Cricetulus griseus: one gene and its partner. The protein of the gene in region 1 purifies or fractionates together with the protein of each later gene. This does not show direct contact. Links are inferred from orthologs where the notes say so. Each region holds a gene or a part of one and is shown in the gene's direction. Other genes may lie near its edges.

Region 1 (7,772 bases):
GGTGAGGACAGCTGAGCAGAAGCCACACTGAGCAGGGTGGGTTGGAGGGTGGGTAGTGTCTTCTGTTTCTCCCGAGGCCTTGTCGCCTTGACTGCTTCAGCAGAGCCCCCTCTGCCATGAGATTCCCCTCAGCTCCTGCTGTCTGGACAATTATTCCCAGCCTCTTTGCTCTTTATCACCAAGGCTCTGACAGGTCCTGCCTACCTGGTGCTGAGAGGACTAGACTGCCTATGTCCCTCCCTGCCCATTGGCTTAAACTCTGTCCTGAACATGGGCTGAGAGGCGGGCAGATCCTCACAGTATCTCCCAAAAAGAATGAAGGACCTCTGTAAACTCTAAAGACAGCACCTAGCAATGGGGCAGCTAGCTTCCTGCACATTCATATACCCCAGATGTTATGGTAAGAACTCCCACCCCCAGAGGAGATGGATGCTCTGTTGTGAGCTGGGTCTATCAAGCAGCTGGTGAGTGTCTGTTTTCGTTTGTACACGGCTGAGTTAGCTCAGGTGCCACCTAACTAGGTGGACTCTTGGGCAGCTTTCTGCCACTTTAGTCGAGTGTCCTGGTCAGTAAAAGTGGGAATAGAAACTTAACCTTGGTGTGACATACACATCCAATGGCCTCTCCCTGGGAGCAACAAGGCCACTGCCATTCTGGGTGTCATACCCTGCAAGGGAGGGGAGGCTGCTGGGGACCTGCCAGCCCCTACATGCTGCCCTCAGGCTTCCTCAGTCAGTTCCATAGCAGGCCCTGAGCTGCTCACATATCTGGTCCCTCAAGGTTGTGGAGAATCCAGTGTGGAAGAAGCATCCCTCTGGAGGAAGGTCTTGGCTGCCAGTACTGTGGCCTGAGGAAAGGTGCTATGCTGCATTTTTTCAGGTAGAATGATAAGGATGTCCCTAGGAGAGGAAGCCACCCTATACAGGACATCACCTGAGCCAGGATCATAGAAAGGGCCACCATATCCTAGAGATCTGCCTTGGGGGTCCAGAAATGGCTCTGCACTCCACCTGCCCTGAAGAACTATCTAGACTGGTCAGGTTACAAAGAGGCACGCAATGGTGGTGATAGGTCACACATGGGCCTCTATTGAGCCTCAGCCAGGTTTAACCCTGAGTCAACCCCCAGGCCGTAAGAGGCTACCCCCTAATACTCAGCCAGACCACATGGAGAGCTCATAAAGCAAACAGGAGCCTGGGTCAGGTACAAGTGCCCTACTGAAGGTGGCAGGGGCCCCAAGCTGGCCTGGTCAGGCCAGGACAAGAAGGAGCAGACCTCAGCATGCAGTGTGCTGGGATTGGTGAGTCAGGAAAAGTGTTTCAGTGCAGGAGTGTGAGGGGATCTGCTCTCCCGACTGGGTCTCCATTGCTTCTCTCAAGCAAAGGCTGTATGCATGGATGAAGGACTTCCCTGGGAGTCAGGGCAGGAAACCCAGCCTCCTGGGATGACAGTCCGATAGTTTAGGAACACTGATGGGAGGGGCATCCTGAGTGATTTAAGGGTGTTGTCACAAAAGTAAGTCCTGACTTAGCTGACTCCAAGGGCCCTGGACTCGTCTGTCACATAGGCATTATCTTATGACTCTCAACCAAGTGAGCCAGTTCGCTTGCTTTCTTCCCATTTCCAGATTCGGTATCTGGGTTCAGTCTGGCCTCAGCTATGATGGCCTCTGGGGCCTTTACCCACAGGGCAGAAGGAAAAGCAGAAAGGGACAGTGCCACTGGCAGCAGCCAAGCAAGAAAGTCCAAACCAAGCACCACCAGCCCCCAGGTGGGGTGCCAGGCACCCTCCCCTCCTCCGCCATCATCCCTGCAGCTCTGCTTGGCAGTCCTGCACAACACGTCTGGGGTTGAGCTGTCCTGCATGGTCTCCTAACTCCACTCCTTTCCAGAGGTCATCTGCCACCCTGCATTCAAGCCCACAGACCTGCCTCTGCTCCATCGCTTTTGTCGCCCAAGCACCTAAAGAATCACGAAGAGGGGACCAGAACACCCGCTGACAATCTGTAACATATAAGTCATCGGAGCTAGTGAAGGCTAGTTTTTTGGCCAGTTTCCCGCCTTCGGCCCCCTCACCCTCCTCCAAAACACATCAGATGAGAACTGGAGCCGTGCAGGAGCGGCTAGAAAGGGCGTAGGGAGGTGGGCGCTGTTGGGGGTGTGGGTGTGCAGGTGACCAGGGAAGCGAGAGACCAGGACAGAGTGGTGGAAGCCCTGAAAGAGAAAGCCGGGTACGCTTAAGGATGGAGAAGAGCAAAGGGGTGCCGAATTCGGCAGGGGGCGGGGAAACCCCTGATTGGCCGGGGAGGACGTGATGTCACGTCCGGCGAGGGAAGCCCTGCCTCAGCGGTCCCCCCCGCCCCGCCCCCGCCCCCACAGGTGGTGCCTCCGCCCTGAGTACTGGGCTTCTGGGGGAGGCACCTTCGGGGACCCTGGACTCCGCTTTGCATTCCTGGCTCCCCCCCTCCCTTCCTCCCTCCTCCCCAGCAACCGAGCCCATCGCGTGGACTGCAAGGGCCTGCACGCCTCCTCCTCCTCCTCCTCCTCCTCCTCCTCCTCCTCCTTCCCGAGAGCAGAGGAGCGCCCGGTGCGCCCCGATCGTGCCCCCAACCGCGCCCGCGCCCCCCGCCCCGCCTAGCCCCGCCCGGGCGCTCCCCTCTTCCGCGCCGCGCTCCCCGCCCCTCCCTGCCCCTCTCCGCGGCCGCCGTGGGGCCGGGCGGGCGGGCGGGCGGCGGGGGAGGCGCTGAGCCGGGACTGCGCGTTCGCCCGCCGCGCTCTGGGCGGCCCGACTGAGCGCCTGGACCTCGCGCGCCTCGCGCCTCGCGCCTCGCGCCGCAGTCGCAGCCGGCTTTTGTTGTCTCCGCCTCCTCGGCCGCCGCCGCCGCGCCTCTGGACCACGAGCGCCGCCGCCGCCGCCGCCGCGCGCGCCGGGACCTTGGCTCTGCCCTTCGCAGACTGGGCTGAACGGGCCGGCCGGCCGGGAGCGAGGGAGGGAAGCGCGCGCGGGCGGGCGGCCGGGGAGCCACGGGCCCCCGCCATGGAGCTCCGGGCCAGAGGCTGGTGGCTGCTGTGCGCGATCGCCGCGCTGGTCGCCTGCGTCCGCGGGGACCCCGCCAGCAAGAGCCGGAGCTGCAGCGAAGTCCGTCAGATCTACGGGGCCAAGGGCTTTAGCCTGAGCGACGTGCCCCAGGCAGAGATCTCCGGTGAGTAAGGGCGCGGCAGTGTCCGGGGGCTCCGGACCCCAGCACTCAGGAGGAGGAGGAGGAGGAGGTCTGCTCCGGGCCCCTGACCCCGCCGCAGCTAGCCCCGGGCGCCAGAACCCGCCACCTAGACTTGGAGTGGCCTCCTGCGCCTCCGCTGCTCTGTCCCCCGCGGCCCTCGCCCCTGAGCTCCGATCCGCTCTGTTGCTTCCCAGTTCCCAGTCTCTGCGCGCTGGAGCCCCTTCCTCTTAGCGCTGTTCTGGCCCGGCTAGGGACGAGTGGACCCCAGTGCGGTGCACTCCCTTCGGGTCAGGGTTGGAGCTGGGCGTCTTCAGCCCCTGGCTTGGCCCAATGTGCCTGTGGGGCGACAATCCCAGCTCCGGGGCAGCGTGCCTGCCGCCCTTGTGGCGGAGCAAGCGGTAGCTGTGGGGCGGTCTGTCGGGGCACAGCTCCCGGTGGCAGCGGGCTAGGAACTTCTCTATGCGGACCTCTCCCAGAGGCGTCAAGGTTCTACTTAGGAATTCCCGCGGGTCCACGGCGGGAGCAGCCTAAGTGGGATTTATGGGAGGAGATCCTATCCTGCAAGCCTGAATTCCAGGGAAATGTGAGCCCGCTGTGGGCTTCAGGCGACCCCAGGGCTCGCTGGGATTCCTACCCAGGAACTTGTGCCCTCCAGCGCCCGGGCCCTTGCGCACTCGTGGTCGGGCCGGGCACTTGGGGCCGCCTGGAGCTACGAGCCCAGCTGCAGGTGGTCGACGTCTTGGATCCCGCCCAGGGGCCTTGTCATCTCTTTGTAAGAAGAGCGGCCCTCCTGGCGGCAGCCTCGGCCCTGCAGCTGCTGGGAGCAGCCCTTCCCCTCCCTTCCCTTCCCCGCTGCCTCGGGAGCTCTGGGAACCGAATCTTTATGAGCTTGGAGCGCCGATGCAATGTCCTAAGGACCTCCCCAGCCCCAGGCTTCACCCTTCAATGTGTGTGGAGCTCCCCTGGATAAGTGCAACACCAGGGCCTTGGTGAGCAGGGAATTCCCGCTGTAGGGTTCTTCTGAAACTGAAGGGGCTTGCAGGCTAGAAGCCAAGCTCAAGTGGTACCATGGGCACTCTGAATGAGGAAAATCAGGAGTGTCACCCAGAGTGGGTAGCCTGTGGCCTTACCTTGCTTGGGAGTGGTAGTAAGTAGCCAGGCTCTGGGGAGAGACAGAACCCAGAGATACCTTGTTTGGCCCCAGTCTCTTGGCTAGCTGCCCCTCAGATACCCCTAGTACAGGCCTTTCTGTGCCTCTCTCTGCAGACAGCCCTGCTATGTCAAGGCCACACCTCCTGCACTTCTCTGGGCACTGTCCACCTGGGTGTCTGGCAACAGAAGGTGTCCTGCTTTCCCCTCCTCCAAACACACATAAATAGGAACTTAAACCCCGGGCATCCTTGCCTGCCTCTGATCCTTGCCAGACTCCAGATCCCCACACACACCAGTCTGACACCTTCCAGCCTACAGCTTCCCATGGCATGGCCAGGCCCACCCGCCTTAATGCCTTCTTGAGGAGCTTCTTAAGCGTGTACCCACCCACTGCTACTGTGCCCGTGTCAGCAGGGACTGGCAGTGTGGGCAGTGACAAGGGCACTGAGAGGGTAAAATAAGAGGCAGAGATGTGGCCTTCCAGAGATTCTGGGTCTTTCTGCCCAGGGTTGGGGAATGTGGGAGTTAGGAACTCAAGACAAGTAAAATGCGGTGATGTCTTTGTCGGCTGCGAGTACTGTCCATCCAGCTGGGATGTGTGGGTACCCTGAAGAATTACTGCTATCATACCAGTTGGAGTCCAGCATCTGTTCAGGGTCACCCCACTTATTGGTATGCAAGGCTGGGGGCTGTGTTCTTCCACCATCCCTATTGGTGCACCTCAGAAATCGTGCCCTGCTTCCCTGGAACCCCCTTGGGCTGCACCTCATAGCCCTCAGAGTGGGAGAGAGAGTCTCTACAAGCCCCAGGGCACTGAAGAGAGTATTAGCACATAGACTGAGAAGCAGGGTGGCCGCCAGGATAGCCGGAGCCCAAGCGGCAGCCAAGCTCAGGGTCCTGTCTGGTTTTGTACCACCAGACCTGGACTCCAAGGACCAGGCGCCCTCTGGTGGCCCCTGATGGCGCAGTCCTCCCTAGAGCTCTAAATCCTCTGAGCCTTTTCCTGCAGCACCGATCTAGACTTCCAAAGAACGTTCTCCTCTAAGGAGTATGGGGATCCCCCGGGGGCTAGATACCTGCTCAGGTACTACTGGAGGTCAGTGGGTGGTTGGGAGAGAAGAAGGGTGGACTATGAGCGCTTGAGTGGCCTTTTCTGCTCCTGTCTTGGGGACCAGAAATAGCAGTAGTTAACAGGAGACTTCGCTCTTAGCAAACAGCACCCTGTCAGAGGGACTGATTCCTTAAGGCACTGTTTGGTTTTCTGGGTGGCCTGTCCAGGTAGCAGTGATGACAGCTGTCCCATTCCATAGATGAGAAGCAGTCAGGGGAGGCAGCCACTATGGTGGTGTCCTCCTTCTATGCCAGGGCCCCTCAGTGGAGCAAGGCCTGGATGAATTTGTTAGGAGCCCAGTGCTGAATCACAGCCATAATCAAGGAAGCCTCTCTTGACTGGCAGGACTATTCTGGGACATGAATGTTACTAAGCGCACCCCATACGGTTAGTATGGTGCCAGGGTGTCCACTTTGGCCTCTAGGGGCAAGGACCACCCCTACTTAGTCTCTGTTGTCACCACAAAACTGATCCAGGCCACTGTCCCCAAGTAGGTTCTCAGAACAACTGCAGATGGGTACATACTTCTGCTTCACAGTCGCCGTGCTGTCGCCTGGGGAACAGAGGATGAAGGTGGCCTCCACAGAACAAAGGCCGCCTTCCTTGGGGTCTCCAACCTGAGAAGGAGTGGGGCTGGGCATCAGAAAAACTCAGAACTGCCCATCTTCTCCTGTGCCCCAAAGTCACAGTATTCCTGCTTGCCTGCCAGCATGGGTGGGCGCCTCATACCAGATACACACTGCGTACCCCCAAACCCCAGCCAAACTCTTAGTTCTCTATGTGGGCTTTGGCCTTCTATACAATAGTAGTTGAGAATCTGAGGCCCTGTGCCTGTAGGCTCTTCCCGCCTCTTAGAAAGAGTTGTCTGGCTTTCTCTAGAACCCAACAGAATGTCTCCCTCACTTGAGGTCTGGGGCTCTCAGAAGTCACTGACACATTTTCCACTCTGGACCAGAAGTTTCTGTGTGGCCTATTCCTCCCAGGAAGAGTCACCTCCTTCGTGGCTCAGCATGAAACCCAAGGTGGTCCGCATCCCCTGACGTGCTGCTAGGAGCTTGACTTTCATCATCCCCAGCACAACGGTCGGGCTCCTGTGTGCCCCAGGGAGCCATGATCCATCAGGGCCGTGTGCGTGATGCAATGGTCTGGGTCCTTGCTGTAGTGCGAAGGCTCCCAAGCTGGACAGGCCATCCTGCTTCTCCATGGAAACACCCTCTATTGGTCCCCAGGGGCTTTCTGTAGAGTCAACACAACTGCACAGTTGCTGGTGTCCATCAGCTGGGGTGTTCATTGTGGACCGGGCTCCAAAGATGCATTTCACAACCATTCCATGAGCCCTTCATGAGAGGGCCCATGTGAACATCTGGACAGAGAAAGACATCCAGGCCAGAGAGGCCACATACCTTGCATAGGGCACCATCTGGCTAATTCCAAAGCCTGTGCTAGCAGCTATACCTCCGTAGAGCTGGAGCAGACCTCCTTTACCCAGACTCTATTCTGAAGCCTCATGTTCTCTCAGCTTAGAGACCTGAGGTACGATTTTGTAATGCAGGCCTGGTGAGCCTCACAGCTGCATTCTGTACTCTGATTCTTTGGGTCTAGAAATTCTTTTAACTGACCAGAATGACTTCCCAGGCTGGAGGCATGTGACATGGTGGCCCGGAGTATGCACAGAGGTACCCTGGTTGTGCTTCTTGTCAGGCAAGGACAGGACCTCCCACCACCACTACCAGACTGTCAACATCTGGGAGAGGCAAGCTGAGCTACATGGGGCCAATTCCCAAAAGAACAGCAGACAGACAGATGCCCTGTACACAAGGCAAGCCAAGGAATATGGCAGGTGGGCCTGCTGGTGATAGTGGTCCTAGACTACTGTTAGTGCAAGTCTCTAATGACAGGCCTGCCCCTGGCCTCGGAAGTCCCCACCCCACCCCCAAGCATTGGGGATATACTGGCATACATGCCAAGCAGCAGGGCTGAGCTTTAGAACCAGTTAGGTTCAAGTCAGTATATGAACACACCTTCTCTTATACCATGGTTTCTGAAACAGCTGTCACCTGTGCAGTAAGAGATGGGCAGGGAAAGGTGGACTCTTCCTTAAGCCAAACTGTCCTCCTCAGATTGAGTCCAGAGTAATTTCAGTGTCTTTCCTATGTCAGAACCTAGGCTGAGGAGCTCCCTTAGTTAGAGTCTCTGTCCAGCCCTGACCTAACCTGGCTTTGGGCACAGTCGTCTTTAGTGGCTCCAAGCTGGTGACTCCTACCCCAAGACTGAGCACTTGCTGATGTC
Region 2 (7,990 bases), on another chromosome or scaffold:
AGCAAAGTTTACTCTACCTCGGTGTGAACTTTAGCCTATATTTCCAGTGCCAGCAAAAGTGAAACCTTTGCCCTACTTTTTAATCATCTTCATACGTAACTCAAGAAAATAGCTACAAGATCACATAAAACTATAATCAGTGGAAAAAGTTGAATTATGCTGACACAACTTTGAAAATGTTACTTTAGTTTATAGTAATTTATAGCTTTTTCAAAATCCAATCCCGGTACAAGGAATGGATGGATCAAGAAGTGAGTCAGATTTAAAAATACCACAAATACCTAATAACTGCCTTTCATTTCCTGTAAAATTCTTCTACTATCACTTACACACTTGAGAATTAGGAGAAATAGGAATTAAACAGATAGGAAGGTCAATTTGTGAGTTTTTTATTTGATAGTCATACTAGAATGATAGTACTATGTTTACAGCAGAAATGTTCTGAAACTTCAATAATCAGAAGGTTTACTCTTTCTCCAGGAAATGCCATAGTTCATTGGTAATGCCTGCACACACTCTCAGGGTCAAGGACTGACCTGTTGAGTCTAGACGATAAACAGAAAATCAGGTGTGCAGCTAATTTTTTGGTTGTGAGCCTACCCTTTAATGGCTGAGCCATCTCTCCAGCCCTGTGCAGCTAATTTTAAATCGACTTTCCTACTGACTACACTTTCTTAATGAAAACATAATACAGTTAATGTATTAATGTATATGTTTCTATGTAGGAGTATAGGAAAATCTGGCTGTTAGCTCTTCATCACCTATGTAAAACGGATAGATTAAAAATTCTCAGCTTTATAAAATCATTACTTCAAGCAGTGAAGAGTCAATAACATTTATTGAGAACTTATTCCCATGATAAGCTGTTTTATACCTAATGTAACTTCTTTAGACTTACATGTAATTGACTCCATTTTACCAATGAGAAAAAGATACTGAAATTAATTCCCAAGGTCACCAGAAGGTAAAAGACAGATTTAACCTACAGTCCATATTTAGTGACTTTAATTGCACCACCACACAACTTCTCCTGCCAAAGAAAAAATCACTCTCATTCATTTTATAGATGAGAACGCCCATTTAGATTAAAGCACTTGGCCAAAGTCACACAGCTAGCTAGTGACTAGAAAACACATGGGACCCGGTTACCACTCCAGTGTTGGTAATGTGGTAGTTTTGGCTGTTATATGCAATCTATGTGTGTGGATTAAAAAAAAGTGGTGGTGGTGCAGGCCTTTAATCCCAGCACTCGGGAGGCAGAGGCAGGCTGATCTCAGTGAGTTCAAGGCCAGCCTAGTTACAAAGTGAGTTCCAGGGCAGCCAGGACCCTGAAACCCTTTTTTGAAAAACAAAAACAAAACAAAAACTAGAAAAAGATTCAACTAATTAGCTTAATTAAATGTCTTGGTAAGGAAGAAAAAGGTAAATTATACATGGTACACTTTTTGTGAGGAAAATTAAAGTCTCAAAGTAACCGGTATCAAATATGATATGCAATATGCAATAAATTAAAGTTACATTAGCCCTTGCAGATTTGGGAAGTCTAGGGAAAGGGCGTTTTTCTACCACCACCCCTTTAACCCTCTCACTACCAGTCTGAAGAGGAAGAATCCAAGTTCATAGAGCCCCACGGGGCATCCGCTGGAACTCACTGTGTAGACCAGGCTGGCTTAGAACTCACAGACATCTGTCTCCCTCTGCCTCCCAACCGCTGGGATTAAAGGCATGCGCCACCAACGCCCGGCTAGAAATAGTTCTTAAAAGGATCTAATACTTCGTTCCTCAAAAAAAAAAAATCAAGTTTTCCCATATTTTAGAAATATTTCTTCCCCTAAGCTAAAGAACTTCGGTTTCAATTTTCTATACATTCATAGCAGAATTATTGGAAGTGCGAGAGTTGAGCTCTCTGCAAAAATGGTTTTGACGGTGGAGACCGGGGAGTGGCAGTGATCTGTAAGACTAGTCAATGCCACCGAGAAACTTGACAGATCTCTTAAGGTGACCTCGAAGATGAGACAGAAGGGGTCTTAGTCCTCCCGACCTACCAGGGTCGGGGCCAAGATAATCACTAAGGACAGGACAACAAGGGGGCGTGAGCGCAGGGCCACGGCAGAGAGACAGGCGCAAAGTGCCAGACTGAGTGGAAACGACTCAGGAAAGTCAGGGAGAGCCTGACACCGCCGGAGTAGGGCAAGAGGGAGTGACAGTCCCTTCGCAAGGACACCGGAAATGGGGTCCCGGGACAGTAACCCCCGTTTCCAGGGGTCCCGGGAAAGGGGTGGCAGGGAGACAGCGAGGGGCAAACGCTGCTCCCCGCCGCCCCAGTTCCTGCAGGCACTCCGAGACTCTTCCCGAGCCCTCAGCCAGGCTCACCTCTGGAGCGGAGGATCCTGAAGGCAGAAAAGCGACTGAGACTGCCAATTGCCCGTGACGCCACCATCTTGAGCAGAAGAGGACTAAAGTAGAAAGCTCTTCTAGCGGGGGCGCTGGGGCCGAGGACTTTTCTTTTCTCAGCCTGTCCGGCAGGGCGCCCGATGGACTGCCTTACTAAAACGCAGGCTCTGAGTTGCCGCTGGCCCTCTCACCCTCCTTCTTGCTCCCAACTAATCGGGCCGAAAGGATGATTTTTCTGAAGGAAGACCGAGGACCTCTGAGGAGAGGACGGAGTGTCTGATTTTCTATTCAGGCGCTCAGAGGGCAGCCGGCAAGTCCCGCGGAGGCCGCGGGCGGGGTGAGAGGGGTCCTCGCGGAGCGGGAGCCGCCCATCGGCGAGGGCGGGCGCTTGTCATTCTGGACTTGACCTTGCTGGGAGTGGCGGCTTTCTCCGTCTCTGAGGTGCGGCGGCGCGCTATTCGGCTTTCTTCTGACTTTCCCGCAGGTAGGTCCCACTTCCCTCCCGACTCCTGTCGCCCGTCCCCGCGGCCGCTTCTGCGGACAGGAGCCGGACAGGCTGCAGGCGGGGTCCAGGCCTCCTGTGCCAACCGACTCCAGACGGACGGCGGGTAGCTCGCAGCAGCGGTGTCGCCTGGCTCCACGTATCGCTTCGGGTTTACGAACTGTTTGCGCGTTACCACGTATGCCTTCGGGTTTGCAGAACGCTGGGCTGCGTCAGAGCGTTGTCGTTTCCCCTGCTTTACCTGTCTAGGCAGTACCGCGGCTGCTGAGATTGAGAACTCGTCATTAAGTGCGAGCCTTGGGTGTGGAAGGAGGCGAGGCAGTCCTCCCACCTGCCTGGTGATCCAGGGTTCACGGGCATTTTCTAACTCAGAAGGGGACCCGGCGGACATCTGGGCATCCCCACCAAAGTAGCCATAGTCGTTGAGTCAGAGTGTTAACTGGTAGCCACAAGTGGTAGAACTAGACTAGAGCCTTGCGTCTACTTCTAATTGAGAGTTCAGCTCTTCACATCCGTCGCCTGGCTGTGTCTTGTTTTCTGTGTTTTGGTCCTGGAAAGTTGATGCTGAAGTAAATGGATTGGTTTCAAAAGAAAGTCGTCAGCTTCCGGTGCACTGCACCATTTTGTTTAATACCCACTATCCTCACATTTCGATCATTTTCACCTAGCGGAGACTTGACAGGCTCAGAAAGATGATATACAATTTCTTCTTTTTGTGTGGCAAGCCCAGAATTCAGACAGAAGCGGCACTCACTAGTTAACCGATTATTCTGCAAGAGAGGAAACAAGAACTGGCTGAAATTGTTAAGGAAAGAAAGAAGGGAGCTTTCTGTTTCAGAGCTCAAGTCAGACTAAGTCTTACACCACCAACTAAGCTGACACTAGACAACCACTTCGGAGTAAATTGCAGAAAGGAGTCCTTCTGTCCATATAATAATGCTCTCTACTGCACCTGATTTCACATAACATTTATTTAGATCAGTGGTTGCAAACTTTTTGTAAAGGGCCACACAGGAAAGTAGTTTCTGTTTTGTGAGCCCACTTTGTGCTATGTCATACAGTCTTTGTTTTGTGTTGCTTGCAGCTCTTTGATTTTTGCTGTGCTAGGGATGAAGCCCAGACCCTTGTGCATATTAAACACAAACTCAACTGCTGAGACACACACTCACATCCACCCTTTTGCTTGCCTTTGAAAATGTAAAAACGGTCTAGGAATGTATCTCAGTGGTAGAGAGCTTGCTTAGTATGATTCCTGGCTTCCCTGATCGTACTTAAAAAAAAAAAATTAAAGAAAAAACACTTACTTTATTGAGGCTTTTGGGTTGTATTTTGCTAATGCCTGATTTAAAGCACATTTTTTTTTGTTCCCTGCATTCTCAGTGAAATTTTAAGTTCCATCAAGAGAAAAAAGTGTTTTTGTTTTTTTTTGCTCCTCAGCACTTCAGTTCAATGCTTAGATAGAGGAGAGCTAAGTGTGTTTGTCATCACCTACTAGTAGCAAACACATAAAGTAGCTTCTCTACACAACTCTAAAATTGTCTACATTTCACTGAAGGTCCAGAAACAGAAATGTTAAGCAACTTGTTGAAAGTCCTACAGCTAAGGTGTAGCTAGGATTTGAACTTCAGTGGGAATCTCTTCTTAACTTTGATTTTTGTGGTAACTGGCTAAGTCACCCCATTTTGGTTTTTTATGCTTTACTGGCCCTCTTCTTTCTTCCCTTGTGCCTCTATGCAACCTGCTCTACCCAGGTATTTCCAATTGAATGCCTTTTTGTCAAAATTTCTATATTTCTTTTTTTATTTTTTAAAATTTCTATATTTCTTTTTTTTTAATTTTTAATTTTTTTGGTTTTTCAAGACAGGGTTTCTCTGGCTTTGGAGGCTGTCCTGGAACTAGCTCTTTTAGACCAGGCTGGTCTCGAACTCCCAGAGATCCACCTGCCTCTGCCTCCCAAGTGCTGGGATTAAAGGCGTGCGCCACCAACGCCTGGCTTAAATTTCTGTGTTTCTGAAGCTGTGTAAATGACAACAAAGGTCAGCCATCCCATAAGATAATATAGTCTGACCCCCACTTCCATGTACACACACATTTCTCTGATCTTTTTGTTTTGAGACAGGGTCTCACTATGTAGCTCTCTGGCTGGCCTAAAACTTACTGTGTAGAGCAGGCTGTCTTTAAAGTCATAGAGAACCACCTCTACTTAAAGTGTTGGGATTAAAGGTGTGTGCCATCTTGCTTCACTCTGGTATTTTTATATTTTTAAATGTTTTTAAATTGTTATCTACATGGCATTTTTTTAAACTTATGGTATGAACTATGGGCCTTGTGTTTTCCTAACTGATTAGTCACTTCCCAGAAAATTTATTGATCAAGCCATCTTTCCTCCATTTGCTTTAAACATATTATATATTATGTTTGTCATAGATATTGTCATGATTTCTGAGGGTCAAGAATCTGTGCTACTTGGCGGGGTTGTTCTGACTTTGGAGTTTCTTAGGAGGTTGTTGTCCACACATTGGGCAGGTGGTTGTCACCTGAAGGCTTTCTTGTGCCAGAGTATCAGCTTCCAAACTCACTCATATGGCAGTTGGCAGGAAGTATACAGGCCTCTCCAGGAAGCCAGTGACCAGAAGCTGCAGCCTTTTCCATAGCTTGGTTTCAGAAGCCATGCCATCCCTTCTGACAGAGCAGTACAGTGTGGGAGGCAGTTAGACCTAGAGTACAAGAACCAAGAAAGACAGATACTGAGGTCAGCTTGGAGGCTGGCCACTACAGCCCTCCTTGTAAATCTTAAGTTTCTTACTTGCTTTTTAAGTAAAAACATGCTTAAAAGATAAGACATTGGGTCAGTGAGGTGGCTCCATGGGTAAAAGCTCCTGCCACCACACCAGAGGGCCTGACTTGAATCATGGAACTGCTTGGTAGAAGGAAAGCTGTAACTTCCACAGGTTTCCAGTGACTTGTACATGTGTGCTGTGGTGCATGCTCACTACCTCCCACATAACAACTATTATTATTTTATTAACATTTATTTGGGAAGGAGGCCCATGGCACTCATGTGGTGAGGAGAAGACATCTTGTAGGAGTTTGCTGTGGGTCCTGTGGAACCTTGTCTAGGGGCAGTGAGGCAATGAAGAAATAAGGAACACTGAAGAAATGACAAACTACAGAAAAGCTGGGGTCAGGTGGGGTGTGCATACCTTTGAAGTGACATCTACCACTATAACCTCATCATGACTGTTGTGTACAGAACTGGGGGAGGGGTTAGCTCGTCTGGGTAGGAGGTATCTGTAGGAGGTGTCTGTTGGTAAACATTCTCAGGCTATAAACATCCAGGAGGAGAAAGCTGAGGTTTCTGGCTTTTGCACACTCTGGTCACTTCATTACATTTGGACTCCTCTCCATGCCCTGCCCCAAGAAAAGCTTTGGCATCCCTCCGAGCCTCCCCAGGGCAGGTGTTGCCACTCTTACGGGGTTAAGGCATCAGAGCCTTTGGCATGGTTGTGTCGATGATAACAATACACTTCGTTTTAGGACTTTACTCACTCAGGGCTTTCTCTGCTCCCTTAGAAGTTGGTTCTCTCCTTCCATCATACCAGTTCTGAGGATAAACTCAGGTCCTTATGCTTGATGGCAAGCATCTTTGCCTGCTAAGCCATCTCATCAGCCACTAACAAGTTTTTTTGTTTTGTTTTGTGTGTTTTGCCTGCATGTATGTTTGGTCCACATGTGTGCCTGGCACCCATGGAGGTCAGAAGGAGGGGGTCAGATCTCCTAGAAGTGGAGATATGGATTTGTTGTGAGCCACAATGTAGATTTTAGTAACCAAACCCAAGTCCTCTACAAGAAGAGGAACAAGTGCTCTTAACAGATGAGCCATCTCTCTAGCCCCATCCTAACAATTATTATTTCTTTCTTCCTTTGTTTATTTTGTAATAGGTTGTCAACATACTGTCCTCGAACTTGTAGAAACCTGCCTCTGCCTCCTGAGTGTCAGGATAAAGGCATGTGCCACCATGCCCTGCCTAACAGTTGTTTTTAACATTGTGCTCTAGGGGTGTTTTATTGTGATTCAAAGAAATTAAATATTTTTTCCTCTTTTAATGGGTGATAGCATGCAATGCACACAAACAAAAACTTATTTTTATGTATGTGGTGTTTTACCTGCATGTTTGTCTAGGCAACACTAAGTGCCTGGTGCCTGCAGAAGCCAGAAGAGTGTTGGGTGTCCTGGAACTGGCATTACGGACTGTTGTAAGCTGCCATGTGGGTTCTGAGAATCAAACCCAGATCCTCTGAAAAAATAGCAAGTGTTCTTAAGTTTTGAGCCATCGCTCCAGCTCCTATTTTCTTATCTTTTATGGCTGACTACACAATATAGTATTTCACTGGTTGCTGTGGTATGGCTTACTTAACCAATTCCCTATTTGCTGTTATTTTAATCTTTTTCAATTATAGTGACAATCAATACAGGTCTTATGCATAATATCTGTCATTTAAGTTCATGGAAGTGGAATTGTTAGATCAAAGTTAAGCAAACATAGTATTGGATTGCCCAGCATAGAGTTTGCACCAGTTCACACCTTTGATGCAGTCAGTGTTTGAACTTGTATGCTCACACAGTATAGATCAAACCTTTGTGCTTTTGCTAATTTAACAGGTAATTATATCTTTGTGATTTTAATATGAATCTTCTTATGACTGGAGTCAAAGAAATGCCCCTCTCCCCTTTGTATACATGCACCTTTACTTCTTAAGACAGGGTCTTTGAATATGAACTTTATTGATCAGACCAGCAAGCTTTAGGGAACCTCCAGTCTGTGCCCTGCTCCAAGGCTGGGGTTATAGGCATGTACCGGTTTTTGTGGCTTTTTATATGGGTTCTGGGATCTGAATTAAGTTCCTTGTATTTGTGTGGTAAGTACATTACTAACTGAGCCATCACTCCAGCCCCCCTTTTCATATATTTAGGAACCCTTTGTATTTCCTTTCTTAGAACTATCCGCTCATATCTTGCATCCATTTATTTGCTGTTTCTTCATATTGATTTGTAAGAACTCATTGTTAGGACTTTAACTTTTCCCCCCTTAA

Evidence for each region.
Region 2: the proteins of Gpc1 (region 1) and Hadhb purify together in Homo sapiens (co-immunoprecipitation; 3 studies listed by BioGRID and IntAct, counting the BioPlex papers as one, with this or other methods). This does not show direct contact. The link is inferred for Cricetulus griseus from reciprocal best matches to the Homo sapiens genes GPC1 and HADHB.

The regions. Positions count from the first base shown.
Region 1 is NC_048595.1:444,319,699-444,327,470, forward strand, and holds the start of Gpc1 (glypican-1), read left to right. Parts: upstream 1-2,739; 5' UTR 2,740-3,036; coding exon 3,037-3,202; intron 3,203-7,772. UniProt on the Homo sapiens protein: Cell surface proteoglycan that bears heparan sulfate. Binds, via the heparan sulfate side chains, alpha-4 (V) collagen and participates in Schwann cell myelination.
Region 2 is NC_048600.1:14,123,835-14,131,824, reverse strand, and holds the start of Hadhb (trifunctional enzyme subunit beta, mitochondrial), read left to right. Parts: upstream 1-2,757; 5' UTR 2,758-2,878; intron 2,879-7,990. Other genes in the region: Hadha (trifunctional enzyme subunit alpha, mitochondrial), read right to left, coding at 2,374-2,440. UniProt on the Homo sapiens protein: Mitochondrial trifunctional enzyme catalyzes the last three of the four reactions of the mitochondrial beta-oxidation pathway.